Linked DNA regions of Saccharomyces cerevisiae S288C. The gene in region 1 interacts genetically with each later gene. Each region holds a gene or a part of one and is shown in the gene's direction. Other genes may lie near its edges.

Region 1 (8,011 bases):
GGTCGCATATCAAGCTTATTACCCATCCCAACTGAGCAGCTGCAGGGTCGCTGATCATAGAAAGAACTAAATCGGGGAGCACTTGAAACGATACTAGGTTGAGAATTTCCATGTCTTGTTCTTCGACCAATACCGGGAGCAGCAATTCGTTAACAAGAGGAGCCAGCTCATCCTCTATGTCGTTAATTTTAAAGTTTTGCCTTAAAAGCATATATTTAAGGTCATTGTCCTTAGTGGAACGATATTGCTCAATCAGTTTACTAATGTGCAAGCTCATTACTAGTTGCGGTAGAACGTGATGTTGATATAGCTGAGTGCAATGTAAACGATTTTGCTACCACTTGTGTAATGTAGAACAAGCTAACCTTAGCTATGTGTAAAAATTTTGTAGAGATGATTCAATAAATGTCACGAAAGGATTGTAGAAGGATAAGAAGCAAGAATTCACAAAAAAGAAATGCGTCACAGACAGGATTCGAACCTGCGCAGGTAAAACCCAATGCCTAATTGCTTTTCTGAGGAAATAGCAGGGCATCGCCTTAACCACTCGGCCACTGGGACACGATTACTTACAATGCACAGCAAGAGCACCCCAACAGTACTTTAAAAACTCTCCTCCAAATATGTCTGCAACGTGTACTATTTATTATAACGAAGATAAATAGTAATACCAATGGCCCATAAAAGCGTATTATTCCACTACCATCGGCCTCCCCTACCACTGAACAAGAGGAATGCGTTACGAGATGTAATCACTTATAACGAAGTGGTATATTCCGCGCCATAAGAAACAGCCATACACTTTACTTGAACAATAGAACATCACTGTAATATTAGAAACATCACCCCCCTTCTTACGAAACTGCCACAAGACAGAAATATGACAGAGGTTGTGGGATTCTGGGAGAGCGTGTCAGATGACGAATCAGAAGACAAAGACTGTATGGAGGTGCAGAACACAGTGAGTGCCGACGAGAGCCCACTTGTGCAGAGCCTTGTATCCTTTGTAGGCTCGTGCTCCATCAACCTACTTTTGCCCTTCCTCAACGGCATGATGCTCGGCTTCGGCGAGCTATTTGCTCACGAGCTCTGCTGGAGATTCAATTGGTTTAACCATAGAAACAAGGGGTATAAGGTGTACCCAGAGTCGCGCAAAATAGCAGCATTGAAAGAGATTTCAAGCCCTGGCACCCGTGGGAGGGTTGCGTCCAAGTTCCTTTAAACGATCACCAAAGCATTAGCAACCTACATAAATAAATACACACACACATACGGTAGATTATACGTAACCACATAACTGGCAATAGTTTCACAAGCCATAAAGCTAGCCACGGTATTACCCTCAAACGACCCCGTCTTGGGCGATAATCCCGCGGTGAAAAATTATTCGTTGAATCATCTCCAAATAAATGGATCAGTCATTGCCACGGTGATGAATATGAACAGCGCAGTGCATTTCAGGCAGCGCATAATATACGCTATCTCTATCACTACAGATAATATACTAAGATGTTGAATTTCGCATCAAGAGCGTCATGTGTGACAAGACGTCAAGCAAGCTTGTATTTTGTTAAAAATCAAGGCCCTAGATTAATAGCTTCCACTATTCCCTCGTGTCATTGGCCTTTGAGAGCGCAAGGAGTACAGCCCAACTATCCTTTATCTTTGAGATTTTATTCTACTGATAAGTCGAAAAGTGTTACGAAGCCCGTAGCTCCAACATCCACCGATGCTCCTGCCAAGCCCAAGGAGACGCTTATGGTCAAAGTGAAGCACGCCTTGAAACATTATGCTAATGGGACGAAACTTTTGGGTTACGAAATCAAAGTTTCTACTAAGCTTTTGATTAAATTTGCTCAGGGTTACGAGTTGTCTAGAAGAGAGAGGAACCAATTGAGGAGGACAATGGGCGATGTGTTTAGGTTGATCCCTTTTTCAGCGTTCCTTATTATTCCATTCGCCGAACTATTTTTGCCTTTCGCTTTGAAACTCTTCCCCAACTTACTACCCTCCACTTACGAATCCGGCAAGGATAAGCAAGCCAAGAGAAATAAGCTCATCGAGATCAGAAAAAAGACATCCGAATTCTTGCATGAGACTTTGGAAGAATCCAATTTGATCACTTACAACACCATTGAAAATGCAGAGAAGAAGCAAAAATTTTTGAATTTTTTCCGGAAGCTTTATTCTGCCAAGGAAGGTAAGATTATGACTTTCCAACACGATGAAATAAGCGCCATTGCGCAAATGTTCAAAAACGATAGCGTTTTGGATAACTTGTCAAGACCACAATTGGCAGCAATGTCGAAGTTTATGTCACTAAGGCCATTTGGTAACGATAACATGCTTCGTTACCAAATTCGTTCCAAACTAAAGGATATAATGAACGACGATAAAACTATTGACTACGAAGGCGTTGAAAGTTTATCGCAAGAAGAGCTGTATCAAGCTTGTGTGTCTCGTGGTATGAAAGCGTACGGTGTATCCAAGGAGGACTTGGTCGATAATCTAAAAGTTTGGCTAGAATTGAGACTGAGACAAAAAATCCCATCCGTCTTGATGGTTTTGAGTTCCACGTTCACGTTTGGAGGACTTCCAAAGGAGAACTATTCAAAGGCATTCTCGCCACTAGCTGAAAAAAAAGAAACAAAAAGCAAATATGACGACCTTTTGGATCTGTACTACGACGGTATATTACAAGTGCTAAGTTCCATTCCAGATCCCGTTTACAACGTCGCAAAACTAGATGTATCTGAATCGAAATCATCCGCTGCTGAAACTGAAGCTGAAAAGCAAGTTGCTGAAAAGAAGATAAAGACGGAAGAAAAACCCGAGGAAACTGCTATACCGAAGGAAGAAGCCACCGCAAAAGAGTCTGTTATAGCTACCACCGCTTCTGCGGTTACTCCTAAACTAGTCGTAGTTAATGAAAAGGCAGAAACAGCGAAGACAGAGGAAATATCTCAGGAAAAAGAGAACGCAGAGCCTACCGACTCTGCGGAAGCCACGGAAGCTGAAGAAAAGAAGACATCCGACGATAACGAGTTCAAATTGAACGTTTTGAAGGAGCAAGAAGAACTAATAAAGAAGGAGGAAGAGGAAGCTAAGCAAAGAGCTTCGAGAGAGCATGTGCCAGATGATATCAACCTAGATGAAGAGGAAGAAGCAAAATCTGTACCTCCCATTCCGGCCGATCAAGCTGCGAAGACTTTTGTCATTAAGAAAGATTGATATTAGATCAAAGCCTAAGAAAAAAACTAAAAAAAACTAAAAAAAAAAAGTCAATCGGTTCTCTTTTCTCTGACAACAATGGCAAAAGATCAAAGAGAAGCGTACGTCACGGCAAAACCAGCGACCCTTCAAAACTAAATTATTATGCATGTATATAATAGACACCCTATCTAAACTACCGCCTTATTTTTTTTTTTATACAGGAGCAAAGTGTCTTTTTTGTGATGGCCACGAGGGTCCTTTCACTCATGACTCCTTAATCAGCATCTTATGAGCTGGATTTTCATATATCGGCGATTTTTTTCATCGGTAATGCACGCAGTAAAGCTGCTCGCTCGAGAAAAATTAGTAATATATGGAAGAAGAAGCATAAGCATAAAAGAGAAAATCCGCTGCCCCACCGTAGAAAGCAAACAAGGCTATTGGTTATTCCTCTTTTCACCTGTACTTCAATCTGTAGCACATCATCATAAGAGGCTTGAAAGTTGCTCAAGAACAGTTTCAACGGTTTTTTCTTTTGAAATTTGAAAATTGCTCTTCGTTTGTTGAGCCGTTATCAAGGAAGTAAATCATCAATTAAAGAATATAGAAAGGCACAAAATTTTGTCATTTACGCACACTTTCAATGGATCATGAGACAACGAAGGTCTGTAGTAGCAGTTAGCGTAAAGCCCAAAGGCTTCAAATTGGGGCATAAACAGGGTTCCATGTCTACGACGTCTCCACCTCCATCCTCACCAGATGGAAATGTGAGTACATCAGGACCGTCAGCTATTAAGTTATCCAAGAATTGGGAGTTACCACAGCGCCTAAAACCGGGCCGCAAACCGAAATCCAAGCGCGGGGATGCATCAGCTAATAATGATGGATCGTCCAAGATAAAGAAGGTTCAAACTTCCAACCAGAAAGACCAAATGACCACAAAAGATCATGAGAACGAAGGCGCAAAAGGTCATGAGGGGAAATCTGATGATGAAGGCAACGGAAGTGGTGATGAAAACGGTGTCGATAGCGTGGAAAAGCGAAGGAGGCAAAATAGAGATGCGCAAAGAGCATATAGGGAACGCAGAACAACAAGAATCCAGGTTCTGGAAGAGAAGGTTGAGATGCTACACAATTTGGTCGATGATTGGCAAAGGAAATATAAACTGCTGGAATCTGAGTTTTCCGATACAAAGGAAAACTTGCAAAAATCAATAGCATTAAACAACGAATTGCAAAAAGCCTTGCCTTTGATTGTTAATACTCCATTTCAACAGCAGCCAGAAAACCCGCCAGACAATCCTATTTCGATATTAGAAATGGTAGAAAACTTTAAACCAATCGGCGCTGTCAGTTTAAAAAAAGGAAAGCTGAAGGCCCATTGTTAACATCTCATGTGCCCGCGGTATTAACAGACCAGTCTTTGTCTGAGATTGATATAGCCAACGATTATCAATATCTGAGCGGCAGACAGTTTAGTTCAACGAATTCATCGCTTGATGGCCATATTAATTCACCTCTGTCTTCATGCAGCAGCAGTATCAATGCATGTGCAGGCAGTGGCAACAAAAAAATAAAATGTTGTAGGAATAAAGATGCCATGAAACCAGTAACATGTTGCAACCAAAAGAATAACATAATGCCATCCTTAGTCCCCGTTTGCTGTTCAGAAAAGAAAATAGAATCCGATGCTAAGAAATCAATATCGAAATGCTGTGGAGACAAAGAAATCTACGATAGCGAGAATAGACCGATCACTAAAGAGGATGGGTCATGGATACCTGGAAGCTGCAAGCAATGTAGATCAGACCCCCATAGTAGGAATTTTTGTCAATCACTTTCGAATAAATGTAGTTCAAGCTCTTTCTCTTCCAACAGTGCGTTGTCACCGGATCTAAATGAACAACAAACTGACGTAAATTACAATTCAATCAAGCTACCCGAAATATGTTCCTGCAAGAATGCACAAATGAATGCGGCTTCCGATGCAAAGAGGTATCTGCCGATCAGTTACACATATCAAAAAATCCGTCAACATATGCAAAAAAATAAAAGTATCCAAGAACAACTAAATCCTGAGGATTCAACTTCGATCTCATCAGCGTTAGAGAACATTGCATCTGGATTGCACGTTCGTGGACAGAAAGTAGAATTGCAAAGCATCAAGGATGCATTACATAAGATGGACAAAAACGTCTTGGAATGATGTATTTAGAAAGAAAAGAAAAGTGGAAGCATAAATAGTGCATATAGATATAGGTATATATATGAATTTTTTAATAATAATATTAATGATGTTTTTTTATCTTAAGAACATTAAAAGTAAGCGGCGCTAACGGAATAATTAGAAACAATGTGGTAAAGAACGGGGGTGAAAACTCATAAAACCAAGTTATAAAGTTCTGCCAAAGCACGGAATATCAAAGGAATCTCAATAATTCCGGCAGCACCCTTTGATTTCGAGGACGATTGGCTGGACGAAGTAGCAGATGCGGCAGATTTTAGCAAGCTCGTTTCGCTAGCAGAAGGGGAGGAGGAAGATGCCTTTGAAGTCGAGGATGATGATTCAGAAGATGAAGAAGCGGAAGATGAAGATGAAGAGGAAGAAGAGGATGAAGAGGAGGTGTCGTCGTCTTCTTCGTCGTCATCGTCCTTAGCATCACAACTTTGTTGGGTGGCGATTCCGGTTCCCATAGGAGAACCTGCTCCAGATGTGAAGTAAGCAGAAGCAGCACTTGGCATAGCAGGCAAAGTGTTATTAGCTTCCCAGACACCCTTTTCATAATCAGGACATGTAGAATAGTTGTTGGAAGTACTGTAACCACCATTGCCTTCTGGGTTGGATACTTTGCTGTATTCATTTTTCAAGTTTTCAAAATCTGTCAATTTAGTGACCTTGTCACCATCAATTTGAACGAGCCCGTAATTGTTAGTTTCATTGGAATATTCGTAGACTAGCCCACCGGAGAATACAGAAGACATTTGAGTGGAATAGATAGCTTCAATTTCTGTGAATGGACGAGAGCTCTTGACTTGGTTACAACCAAATTCACTTAAGAAGACAGGAACGGAGTAATCTTGATATAGCTTCATCTTGGTGGAATAACCCGATACCACAAATGAAGATTCACCACACCAAGAATAGTCATTAACACCAAACATGTCGATTCTAGCGTCAGCTTCATCACCACAGTTAAAGTATTCAGCAGCCAATTGTCTGTTAGCGACGATATCAGCAGCCGAGTAACCTACCGGAATTTGTCTGTATTTTCTAGCCTTGATGTATTTCTTCATGTCCCTGACCACTGCCTTGACATAAGTAGCAGTGTTGGTAGTATTAACACTATTGATGACCTCGTTACCAGCGAAAAAACCTAGAACATTGTCGTAATCAGCAAAGGTATCAATGGTGGCAAAGACATTTTGTAAGTAGTCAGCGTTATAGGAGCAGGCTGGATCGTAACGAGAAATAGCACTCGTGGGGGTATTGACATCCAGGATCAAGTATATACCGTTCTCCTGCAATAGTTTCATACAATGGGAATGATCTTGCGAGTTATCCACAGTATAAACTCTGACAGTATTTATCCCTAGATCTTTCAGAACGGGGACGTCTCTGTCACAGACAGATGCGTCTGCTAAGGGATCAGTCAAGTTAGAAGAACCACCAGGCTGGTAATCAACACCACGGATATAAAACCTTTCACCTGATTCCGAATTAAAAAATGCATTGCCTTTAATTTCAATGGATGGTGTGGAACTGTTACTGCTGCTAGCAGCCTGAGCCAAACCAGCACTTAAAACGAAGGCACTTGTAAGAGAACGTAGTAACATAGCTATTTAGAGCTGTGTGTGTAGCGAGTGATATATAATATGTTTGTTACAGCCCACTGTTTACTTTTATATACGAAATGCAACACTGTCAACAAATCAGTTCAGGGACCTTCCTATTTATAGTATAAGCAAAATAAAAGTGAAAAATTTCCTGCGGAGTTTTTTTTCTCGAGAAATTGTGAACAAAAGAAAGCAAAGACACAGAAGATGATAAGAGAGAGAAACAACGAAGAAAGAACAACAATGTTGGGGTTCACCCGAGAGATATTGACATACTGACCTTAGAAAAGGCATTACTGAGGCTACTGACTAAAGCGCGTTACATAAATGCATAGTATATTTCTTGTTGTATACGCAGCGGCCAACTAGTGGCAGCAAGAATGTAATGAACGATTCATCTGCAGGTTTGGAGGCCGCAACTAGATCAAAACGTAAATAGCGGGTGAAGTGTTCTGGACGTTAGAAGTAACGTCCGCAGATCGAAGCTAAACACGAGATTAGATTTCGGGTAACGGAATTGTGATAATTAAGAAAGACCAGACTATGTGAAAAGGCCACGTAAATGATAGAGCACACATTAGCAACTATAATAGACTAGTTTTCGCATCGCTGGAAGTTCTCGATATTGAATATCACTTCCAAGAACGCAAACTTAGAATGGTCCGGATTCTTCCCATAATTTTGAGCGCCCTATCTTCGAAATTAGTGGCGAGTACAATATTGCATTCATCCATACACTCAGTGCCATCTGGAGGCGAAATCATATCTGCAGAAGATCTTAAAGAACTTGAAATTTCAGGGAATTCGATCTGCGTTGATAATCGTTGCTATCCTAAGATATTTGAACCAAGACACGATTGGCAGCCCATACTGCCAGGTCAAGAACTCCCCGGTGGTTTGGACATTAGAATAAACATGGACACAGGTTTAAAAGAGGCAAAACTAAATGATGAGAAGAATGTCG
Region 2 (4,071 bases), on another chromosome or scaffold:
ATTTCCTCTCCCTGCCATCCTCTTTATTTTTGTTCTGTATCACAGCAGTTAATTCAGTTTCCATTCAAAGTATGCCACGGATAACTTGATGCTTCAAGAAGAAAAATTATTTGGCCTAAAACTTGCTGTTTCTTCACAATTTTTCTAAATGCTCTCCGATTCCCGGATTGCAGATGTTTCACTGCTCCACATTATATCCTTTGTGTCCACCTTGATAATCGATACTTTAAAGATTATTTTGTGGGAGGAGAGCCTTAGAAAGAATACGCTTGTTTTAAGAAGGAAAACAAGCGGCACCAATCTTCAATTGGTATTTTAAAATCTATTAGACGTCAAATCCCGGTTAGACTTGAGATAGATGTACCTGGAGAGAAAATCTATAATAAAAAAAAAAATACTTTCAGGTCAGATATTTCTTTTTTTGTCCCTAATAAAAAGAAATGGTATTCTGCCAAACACCAAAGTGCCAAATAAGCATTATTTTACATAGTACGAAATGGAAATTACGTCAATTATCGACATTATGACATAAAATTGGATTTAACAAGATCTCTGAATCTGATATGCTTCTTTCATTAGGGTGGAAATAACAGCATTTGAGAGAAGCAATTGCCAAGCTTCTATGAAAATTTTCTAGAAGGCAAGAGTATTTCAGACTTTCCTAATATGAAAGGACAAATTGACACTAATGTCTGATTATGGCCAATTCCTGCGGTAAATTACACGGCGATTACGGCGACATGAGCTCACATTCATCACTCTATGGGACAAATGTTTCCAAACTGGGCGCAACAAACACCTGATGTGACTCCTACCCTTTGGACAATGCAGATCCACGCTACGGCAAATTAGTCAAATGCACTAGAACATGGCGCAAGTACTTATTGTGACCTTTGGGGTACCGTTACCGTCAGTTTTCTTCAGCTAAGGCGCGCGCGCCAGATAACTAAAAAAAAATATAGTTGCTGCTTAAAAAACAATACACCCGTACTCTCTTGCCTGTAAAAACCTCGAAGGACCAAAGATACCCTCAAGGTTCTCATCTGTGCGGTATTCTTCAAATTACAATGACATTTCCCAAAATTATCAGATGTGCTCAGGTATCTTCTCTCCAATGAGATGAGACAGATGAACATATTTGACCTTGAAGGTCATGGAAAGTAGGTTGAGAGCAAATGTGTAGAACGAAATTAAGAAAAAAAGAAATTACGCACGGCATTAGCTCGATGACTTAGTTATAAATAGAGGCCTGGTATCGGCTGTCATGATCTCATCTCTTCCCTATTTACAAAAAAACTGCAAGTATAGACAATAAAACAACAGCACAAATATCAAAAAAGGAATTATGAGCAACGTTACTACGCCGTGGTGGAAACAATGGGACCCTTCTGAAGTTACACTTGCCGATAAAACCCCTGATGATGTGTGGAAGACCTGTGTTTTGCAAGGTGTTTACTTTGGTGGAAACGAGTACAATGGTAACTTAGGTGCCAGAATATCTTCCGTCTTTGTTATTCTTTTCGTGAGTACTTTTTTCACCATGTTCCCATTAATCTCAACAAAAGTGAAAAGATTGAGAATTCCTCTATATGTTTACCTTTTCGCAAAGTATTTTGGTTCCGGTGTTATTGTTGCAACCGCATTTATCCACTTAATGGACCCTGCTTATGGTGCGATTGGTGGTACCACTTGTGTAGGACAAACCGGTAACTGGGGTCTTTATTCATGGTGTCCTGCCATTATGCTAACGAGTTTGACCTTCACTTTCCTTACTGATCTATTCAGTAGCGTCTGGGTTGAAAGAAAGTATGGTCTTTCCCATGACCATACCCACGATGAAATTAAAGACACTGTTGTGAGAAACACTGCAGCTGTTTCAAGTGAGAATGACAATGAGAATGGTACTGCAAATGGATCTCATGACACCAAGAACGGAGTAGAGTATTATGAAGATTCAGACGCTACATCCATGGATGTTGTTCAATCATTTCAAGCACAATTTTATGCCTTTTTAATTTTAGAATTCGGTGTGATTTTCCACTCCGTTATGATCGGTCTAAACCTGGGAAGTGTTGGTGATGAGTTCTCCTCCCTATACCCTGTCTTAGTGTTCCATCAATCATTTGAAGGTTTAGGTATTGGTGCAAGATTGTCAGCCATTGAATTCCCTAGATCAAAGAGATGGTGGCCATGGGCCCTATGTGTTGCGTATGGGTTAACCACACCAATCTGTGTGGCCATCGGTTTGGGTGTTCGTACCAGATACGTCAGCGGTTCTTACACTGCGCTTGTTATCTCTGGTGTTTTGGATGCCATTTCTGCTGGTATCTTATTGTACACTGGTTTGGTTGAACTACTAGCAAGAGACTTTATATTCAATCCTCAAAGAACAAAGGATCTAAGAGAATTGTCCTTCAACGTTATATGCACTCTTTTCGGTGCTGGTATCATGGCTTTGATCGGTAAGTGGGCTTAAACCAAAGCGAAATTCTGCATGTTCCATATAGATTCTATTTCATATTTTATAGTTATTTATTCTTTAGTAATAGCAAAAAAACAGTAATAATTTTTCTTTAACAGTCTCGGACAATAAATACGCTAAAGAAGATGAAAATGACAACTTTTACGCTGGTGTGCACAAGTGGTACCAGAATACGTGGCCACCAAAACAATGACGGATATAGGGAGAACCAAGTCTAGAAATTACAAATGTTCTTTTGACGGTTGTGAGAAAGTCTACAACAGACCTAGTTTGCTTCAGCAACACCAAAATTCGCATACCAATCAAAAGCCGTATCATTGTGATGAGCCGGGATGTGGCAAAAAATTTATAAGACCGTGCCATCTACGAGTTCACAAATGGACTCATTCACAAATCAAGCCCAAAGCGTGCACATTATGTCAAAAAAGATTTGTCACAAATCAGCAATTAAGAAGGCATTTAAATAGTCATGAAAGAAAAAGCAAGCTTGCATCAAGAATTGACCGTAAACACGAAGGAGTGAATGCGAATGTGAAAGCAGAACTCAATGGCAAGGAGGGAGGTTTTGACCCAAAATTACCTTCCGGCTCTCCAATGTGTGGTGAAGAATTCTCGCAAGGTCATTTGCCTGGATATGATGACATGCAAGTGCTACAATGCCCATACAAATCATGTCAAAAAGTTACCAGCTTCAATGACGATCTAATAAATCATATGTTGCAACATCATATAGCAAGTAAGCTTGTTGTACCATCTGGAGATCCATCTCTGAAGGAATCGCTTCCAACCTCTGAGAAATCCAGCAGCACCGACACTACATCCATTCCACAACTTTCATTTAGCACTACTGGGACAAGCAGTAGTGAAAGCGTTGATAGCACTACGGCACAAACCCCAACTGATCCAGAGAGTTACTGGTCGGATAACCGGTGCAAACATAGTGATTGTCAAGAGCTTAGTCCATTCGCATCTGTATTTGATCTCATTGACCACTATGACCACACGCACGCCTTCATTCCTGAGACGCTGGTAAAGTACAGCTACATTCATTTATATAAGCCTAGCGTCTGGGATTTATTCGAATACTGAACGCCATAGAAGAGCAATTTCCGTCCTCTACTCATGTGATTCGAACTATGAAACAAAGAAAAGGCAAGAGTAAATAGCGTGATACCTATTACGTATTACGTATACATCCTATTATTCTTGAAAAAAAGTGCGGGGCTCCAGAGCTCCACATTGGTGACCCCAGAGTATACTGCTCTTTCTAATGCCTTTTCCATCATGTTACTACGAGTTTTCTGAACCTCCTCGCACATTGGTACCTAGAAATGGCTATCATGCCGGACGGCACCGGGCAATAAACCGGACGGCACAAAAAAATCGAAGAAAAGAGATTTCTTTTTCTCGCGGGCAGTTTTTCCGGTCGATCGACATTCGTACGGTACTTTCTCTGTTTCAGGGACATCATGTTGTAAAAGAAAAAGACAGTTTAGGTAATCGTTCTTTTCTTTCTGAAAAATTTTCCACGACGACGACGACGACCACGAAACACCTTTGATTGCGAGATCCACGAAATTACCTCCTGC
Region 3 (5,255 bases), on another chromosome or scaffold:
TAGTCATATATAGTTCTTTATACTTGAAAAAGTGATTCCTAAAAATCTCAACTTTTTTCACATTGTATTTACAAGATAATAAAATTATTACCATATTTAAACGAAAGATAAATTTTGAATTAAGGCGGTCGTTACATCATACCTGGCATTCCTGGCATACCACCTGGCATACCACCAGCGCCAGCAGCTGCTGGTGGTTCTGGGGCATCAACAATAGCAACTTCGGTAGTAGCTAATAGTGAGGCAACACCAGAAGCATCAACTAAACCGGATCTAACCACTTTAAATGGATCGATGATACCAGTGGCTAACATGTCGGTGTATTCTGACTTAGAGGCATCGTAACCCTTGGCAAAATCATCACCATATTCATCAATCAATTTGCCGATGATAACTGAACCTTCTTCACCAGCGTTTTCAATGATCTGCTTGGCTGGTCTTGTAATGGCCTTTCTTATGATATCGACACCCAATTTTTGATCGAAATTGTCGACAACAACTTCATCCAAAACTCTAGATGCCTTCACTAAGGCAGTACCACCACCTGGCAAGATACCTTCCTCAACTGCAGCTCTGGTAGCGTTCAAAGCATCATCGTAACGGTCCTTCTTTTCACCAACTTCAACTTCAGATGCACCACCGACCCTGATGACAGCAACACCCCCGGACAATTTGGCCAAACGCTCTTGCAGTTTCTCCTTCTCATATGAATTTGTGGTGGTAATGTCGATGGAGCCTTTGATTTGTTCAATTCTCTCTTGAATAGCTTCCTTTGGACCACTACCGTTCAGGATAACGGTGTCTTCCTTAGTAACGGTAATAGAGTCACAAGAACCCAAGTTTTCTATGGTACATTGTTCTGGTTTCAAATCCAACTCCTCAGTAAAAACAGTACCGCCCGTCAAGACTGCAATATCACCAATTGTATTCTTTCTATTATCACCGAAACCAGGCGCCTTCACAGCACAAACCTTAACTTGACCCCTCAACTTGTTCAAAATACAAGCCGCAAGAGCTTCACCGTCAACATCTTCAGCAATGATCAACAAAGGTCTTCTGCTTTGATTGGAAATTTCCAAAGCTGGCAAGATATCTTGAATGGAAGAAATTTTCTTTTCACTCAACAATAGCAATGGCTTTTCAAATTCCACCTTGCTCGACTTTGGATCAGTGATGAAGTATGGAGAAATAAAACCACGATCAAACCTCATACCTTCAGTAACCTCAAGTTCATCTTCCAATGTTCTACCTTCTCTGATAGTGATGACACCTTCTTTTCCAACCTTTTCCATAGCTGAAGCTAGTAACTTACCAACATGAGAGTCCCCATTGGCAGAAATGGTTGCTACTTGAGCAATTTCCTCAGATGTGGTAATTTCTTTCTTGTTGGCGCTCAAAAATTCAATCACTTTTTCAACTGCAACTTGAGAACCCCTTCTCAAATCCATAGGGTTACAACCAGCGGCGACATTTTTGACGGATTCTGTGAAGATGGCTCTACCTAAGACAGTAGCAGAAGTAGTACCGTCACCAGCAGCCTCATTGGTTTTGGAGGCAACTTCTTGTAGTAACTTGGCACCCATATTTTCAAACTTGTCCTTCAACACAATAGATTTGGCAACTGTAACACCATCCTTAGTAATCTTTGGAGGACCGAAAGGCTGTTCGATTAAAACGTTTCTACCCTTTGGACCCAAAGTAGCAGCAACCGCTTCAGCTAAAGTTTCGACACCCTTAAGAAGGGAGGCTCTTCCTTCTACACCGAATTTCAATTCTTTATGAGAGGAGTAAGCACGACGCAATAAAGGCCTTAAAGTAGCGCGACTACGAACAACGGATGATCTCAACATTTTGAAAACTTTTTTGCTTATGATGTTTTCTCGTGGGAATTTTCTTATATTATTCAAGGAAGTGCATGAAGACGCAACCACGACCTTACATAATGAATGTAAAACTTAGTCTCCTTCAATATATATACATGAATGTCCGTCTGGATTCTGCTCCGGGCAAAACGAAGCAAAATTAAAGTCACCCTCCCCATTTGGTTTTCTGGAAAATTCCACGAGGTCCGTATATGATGACATATACAGATGGGCGGCTATAAAGTAAGTTTCCAGAGGTAATACCAGGCAATAAACAGCTTCAATTGCTCGTAACACCATTGTATACCTACAAAAACAGTGGAATAGGGATGAGACATAACTGGCTGGAATTTCAACTGTACTTCTTTGCACAACTAGTCTTGGCGTTCTACTTGATCATTGCGCGAATGGATGCACTCGCAATAATTCCCAATAGTATAACAGGAGGAACATTTGGATGCATTAGGTATATTATTCATCTTCTTTATCATCAAAATTTTCTCTTCCTTTATGTTACTATGTTGCTTTCTTTTAATCTATGTTTTTTTCCCTTTCAGTTGCCACCGCTTTTCTGCAAGATTCATAGTTAGATTTGCAAATCAAGGTGTTTTCGGGCCTTGTTAAAGCCTTCGCAGGCGAAGAAGAAAGGGAACGTAAGCTGCGTGAGCCGAATCTATTTATACAAAAACAATCAAAAAAGTATAACTACAGCATAAACTGTTGTATATACGTGTTGCAAAATAGGAAAGAAAAGAAGAGTAAAAGGACTCTTGATATTATCTCGAAAAAACCACAAATAGTGTAAGATTTAAACAGTAAGCCAAAAGAGATGACTTTGAAACCTTCAAAGAGACGTAAGGGCAGGTCTCGCCATTCCAGGAAGAAGCAAATAACGTCAGCGATACTGACTGAGGAAGGAATAATGATCAAGGCAAAACCATCAAGTCCTTACACATACGCAAATAGAATGGCAGATAAACGAAGTCGCAGCAGCATTGACAACATCAGTAGAACTAGCTTTCAAAGCAACATCAGTAGAACTAGCTTTCAAAGCAACAGTGATAACAACAGTATATTTGAAACGGCTTCACTAATTAGCTGTGTTACCTGTTTAAGCGATACTGATACAATAGACAGATCGGAAACATCGACAACGGATACAAGTAAAGATGATCTTTCTGCTAATCCAAAACTTCATTATCCTTCGGTGAATGGTCAATTGCCAGCAAACACCGTTATCCCCTATGGACGAATTCTGGATGCCAGATACATTGAAAAGGAACCTCTGCATTATTATGATGCCAATTCATCACCCAGTTCACCTTTAAGCAGCTCAATGAGTAACATTAGTGAAAAGTGTGATCTTGATGAATTAGAGTCTTCCCAAAAAAAAGAAAGGAAGGGCAACTCGCTATCGCGAGGAAGTAACAGTAGTAGTAGCCTCCTGACTTCCAGATCTCCTTTTACGAAACTAGTAGAGGTTATATTTGCTAGGCCAAGACGGCATGACGTTGTACCCAAAAGGGTTTCATTGTATATTGACTATAAACCCCATTCATCTTCTCACTTAAAAGAAGAAGATGACTTGGTTGAGGAGATTTTAAAGAGAAGCTACAAAAACACTAGAAGGAACAAATCCATATTTGTGATCATTAATCCGTTTGGTGGTAAAGGTAAGGCGAAAAAACTGTTTATGACAAAGGCAAAGCCGTTACTATTAGCAAGTCGGTGTTCCATAGAAGTGGTTTATACAAAATACCCTGGTCATGCTATAGAGATCGCGCGGGAAATGGATATTGACAAATATGACACTATTGCTTGCGCTTCGGGAGATGGCATTCCTCATGAGGTGATCAATGGGTTATACCAAAGGCCTGATCATGTCAAAGCATTCAACAATATCGCCATTACAGAAATTCCATGCGGATCAGGTAACGCAATGAGCGTATCCTGCCACTGGACAAACAATCCTTCGTACTCAACTTTATGCTTAATTAAATCGATAGAGACTAGAATTGATTTGATGTGTTGTTCGCAGCCTTCTTATGCAAGAGAGCACCCAAAGTTATCATTTTTAAGTCAAACATATGGTCTCATTGCAGAAACTGACATAAACACTGAATTTATTAGATGGATGGGACCTGCAAGGTTTGAATTGGGTGTAGCCTTCAATATCATACAAAAAAAAAAATATCCTTGTGAGATATATGTAAAGTATGCTGCCAAATCAAAAAACGAGTTAAAAAATCATTACCTGGAACACAAAAATAAAGGGTCGTTAGAATTCCAGCATATTACTATGAACAAAGATAACGAGGATTGTGATAATTACAATTACGAAAATGAATACGAAACCGAAAACGAAGATGAAGATGAAGATGCGGATGCGGATGACGAAGACTCCCACTTGATATCTCGTGATCTGGCAGATTCTAGTGCTGATCAAATTAAAGAGGAAGATTTCAAAATAAAATATCCATTAGATGAAGGTATCCCTAGTGACTGGGAAAGATTGGATCCTAATATTTCGAACAACCTAGGTATCTTCTATACGGGTAAAATGCCATATGTGGCTGCTGACACTAAATTCTTTCCGGCAGCGCTTCCTTCAGATGGTACAATGGATATGGTTATCACCGATGCAAGAACCTCGTTGACGAGGATGGCACCAATCCTGCTGGGACTAGATAAGGGTTCCCATGTTTTACAACCGGAAGTCTTACACTCTAAAATTTTGGCATACAAGATAATACCAAAGCTAGGGAACGGCTTGTTCTCTGTCGATGGCGAGAAATTTCCTCTAGAGCCCCTTCAAGTCGAAATTATGCCACGCTTATGCAAGACGTTACTGAGAAATGGCCGTTATGTGGACACAGATTTCGATTCTATGTGACACTTTACTTAATCTTTTCCTTCGTACTGAACAATTAATCAAAAACTAGAATATGTCATTTCTATTTCTTCTATATTTTTTTTACGTTGTTGTTGTTTTTGTTGTTGTTTGATAACTTTATACACTCCATACTTCTTTATAAAAAGTTTTAATACCATTCTTTAATACAACCATGTTTAGTGAGTACTAGCTCCTACACATCAGATCGTCAAGTACATTATGATTATGATTATTATTAATATTATCAGTACAATTATTATGTGCTGGTAGTTCACTAAAAAATATGACGCACACAAAGAGTTCTCCTTATGCCCTATAGAACTGAAATATTAGGTGCTAACACTGACAAGCGCTTTGTTCCTGCTCCTCTGCTGTAGAAATATCAATGACTCCCGGTTTATTTTGGTTTGCACTATTTGCATTTTCGCTATCCAAAGGAGTTGACTCGCTGTTTTGAAATTCAGGCAGCGATTTGGCAATCTTTTTGAATAAAGCTTTGA

What was found. Genes that interact genetically often act in the same process or in processes that back each other up.
Region 2: of YAP7 (region 1) and FZF1, changing one suppresses a phenotype caused by changing the other (phenotypic suppression), as found in Saccharomyces cerevisiae (one study listed by BioGRID).
Region 3: mutations in YAP7 (region 1) and LCB5 together harm fitness more than expected from each alone (negative genetic interaction), as found in Saccharomyces cerevisiae (2 studies listed by BioGRID).

What each region holds. Positions count from the first base shown.
Region 1 is NC_001147.6:267,223-275,233, reverse strand, and holds YAP7 (Yap7p), read left to right. Parts: upstream 1-3,863; coding exon 3,864-4,601; downstream 4,602-8,011. Other genes in the region: LAG2 (Lag2p), read right to left, coding at 1-277; MIM1 (Mim1p), read left to right, coding at 881-1,222; ribosome-binding protein MDM38, read left to right, coding at 1,510-3,231; YOL029C (uncharacterized protein), read left to right, coding at 4,814-5,419; GAS5 (1,3-beta-glucanosyltransferase), read right to left, coding at 5,593-7,047; SIL1 (Sil1p), read left to right, coding at 7,705-8,011. UniProt on the Saccharomyces cerevisiae protein: Probable transcription activator linked to cell cycle that induces transcription activation of genes in the environmental stress response and metabolism control pathways, like the closely related YAP5.
Region 2 is NC_001139.9:19,633-23,703, forward strand, and holds FZF1 (Fzf1p), read left to right. Parts: upstream 1-2,671; coding exon 2,672-3,571; downstream 3,572-4,071. Other genes in the region: high-affinity Zn(2+) transporter ZRT1, read left to right, coding at 1,346-2,476. UniProt on the Saccharomyces cerevisiae protein: May function as a transcription factor.
Region 3 is NC_001144.5:663,153-668,407, forward strand, and holds LCB5 (sphinganine kinase LCB5), read left to right. Parts: upstream 1-2,691; coding exon 2,692-4,755; downstream 4,756-5,255. Other genes in the region: chaperone ATPase HSP60, read right to left, coding at 132-1,850; VPS63 (Vps63p), read right to left, coding at 5,085-5,255; Rab family GTPase YPT6, read right to left, coding at 5,092-5,255. UniProt on the Saccharomyces cerevisiae protein: Catalyzes the phosphorylation of the sphingoid long chain bases dihydrosphingosine (DHS or sphinganine) and phytosphingosine (PHS) to form dihydrosphingosine 1-phosphate (DHS-1P) and phytosphingosine 1-phosphate (PHS-1P) respectively.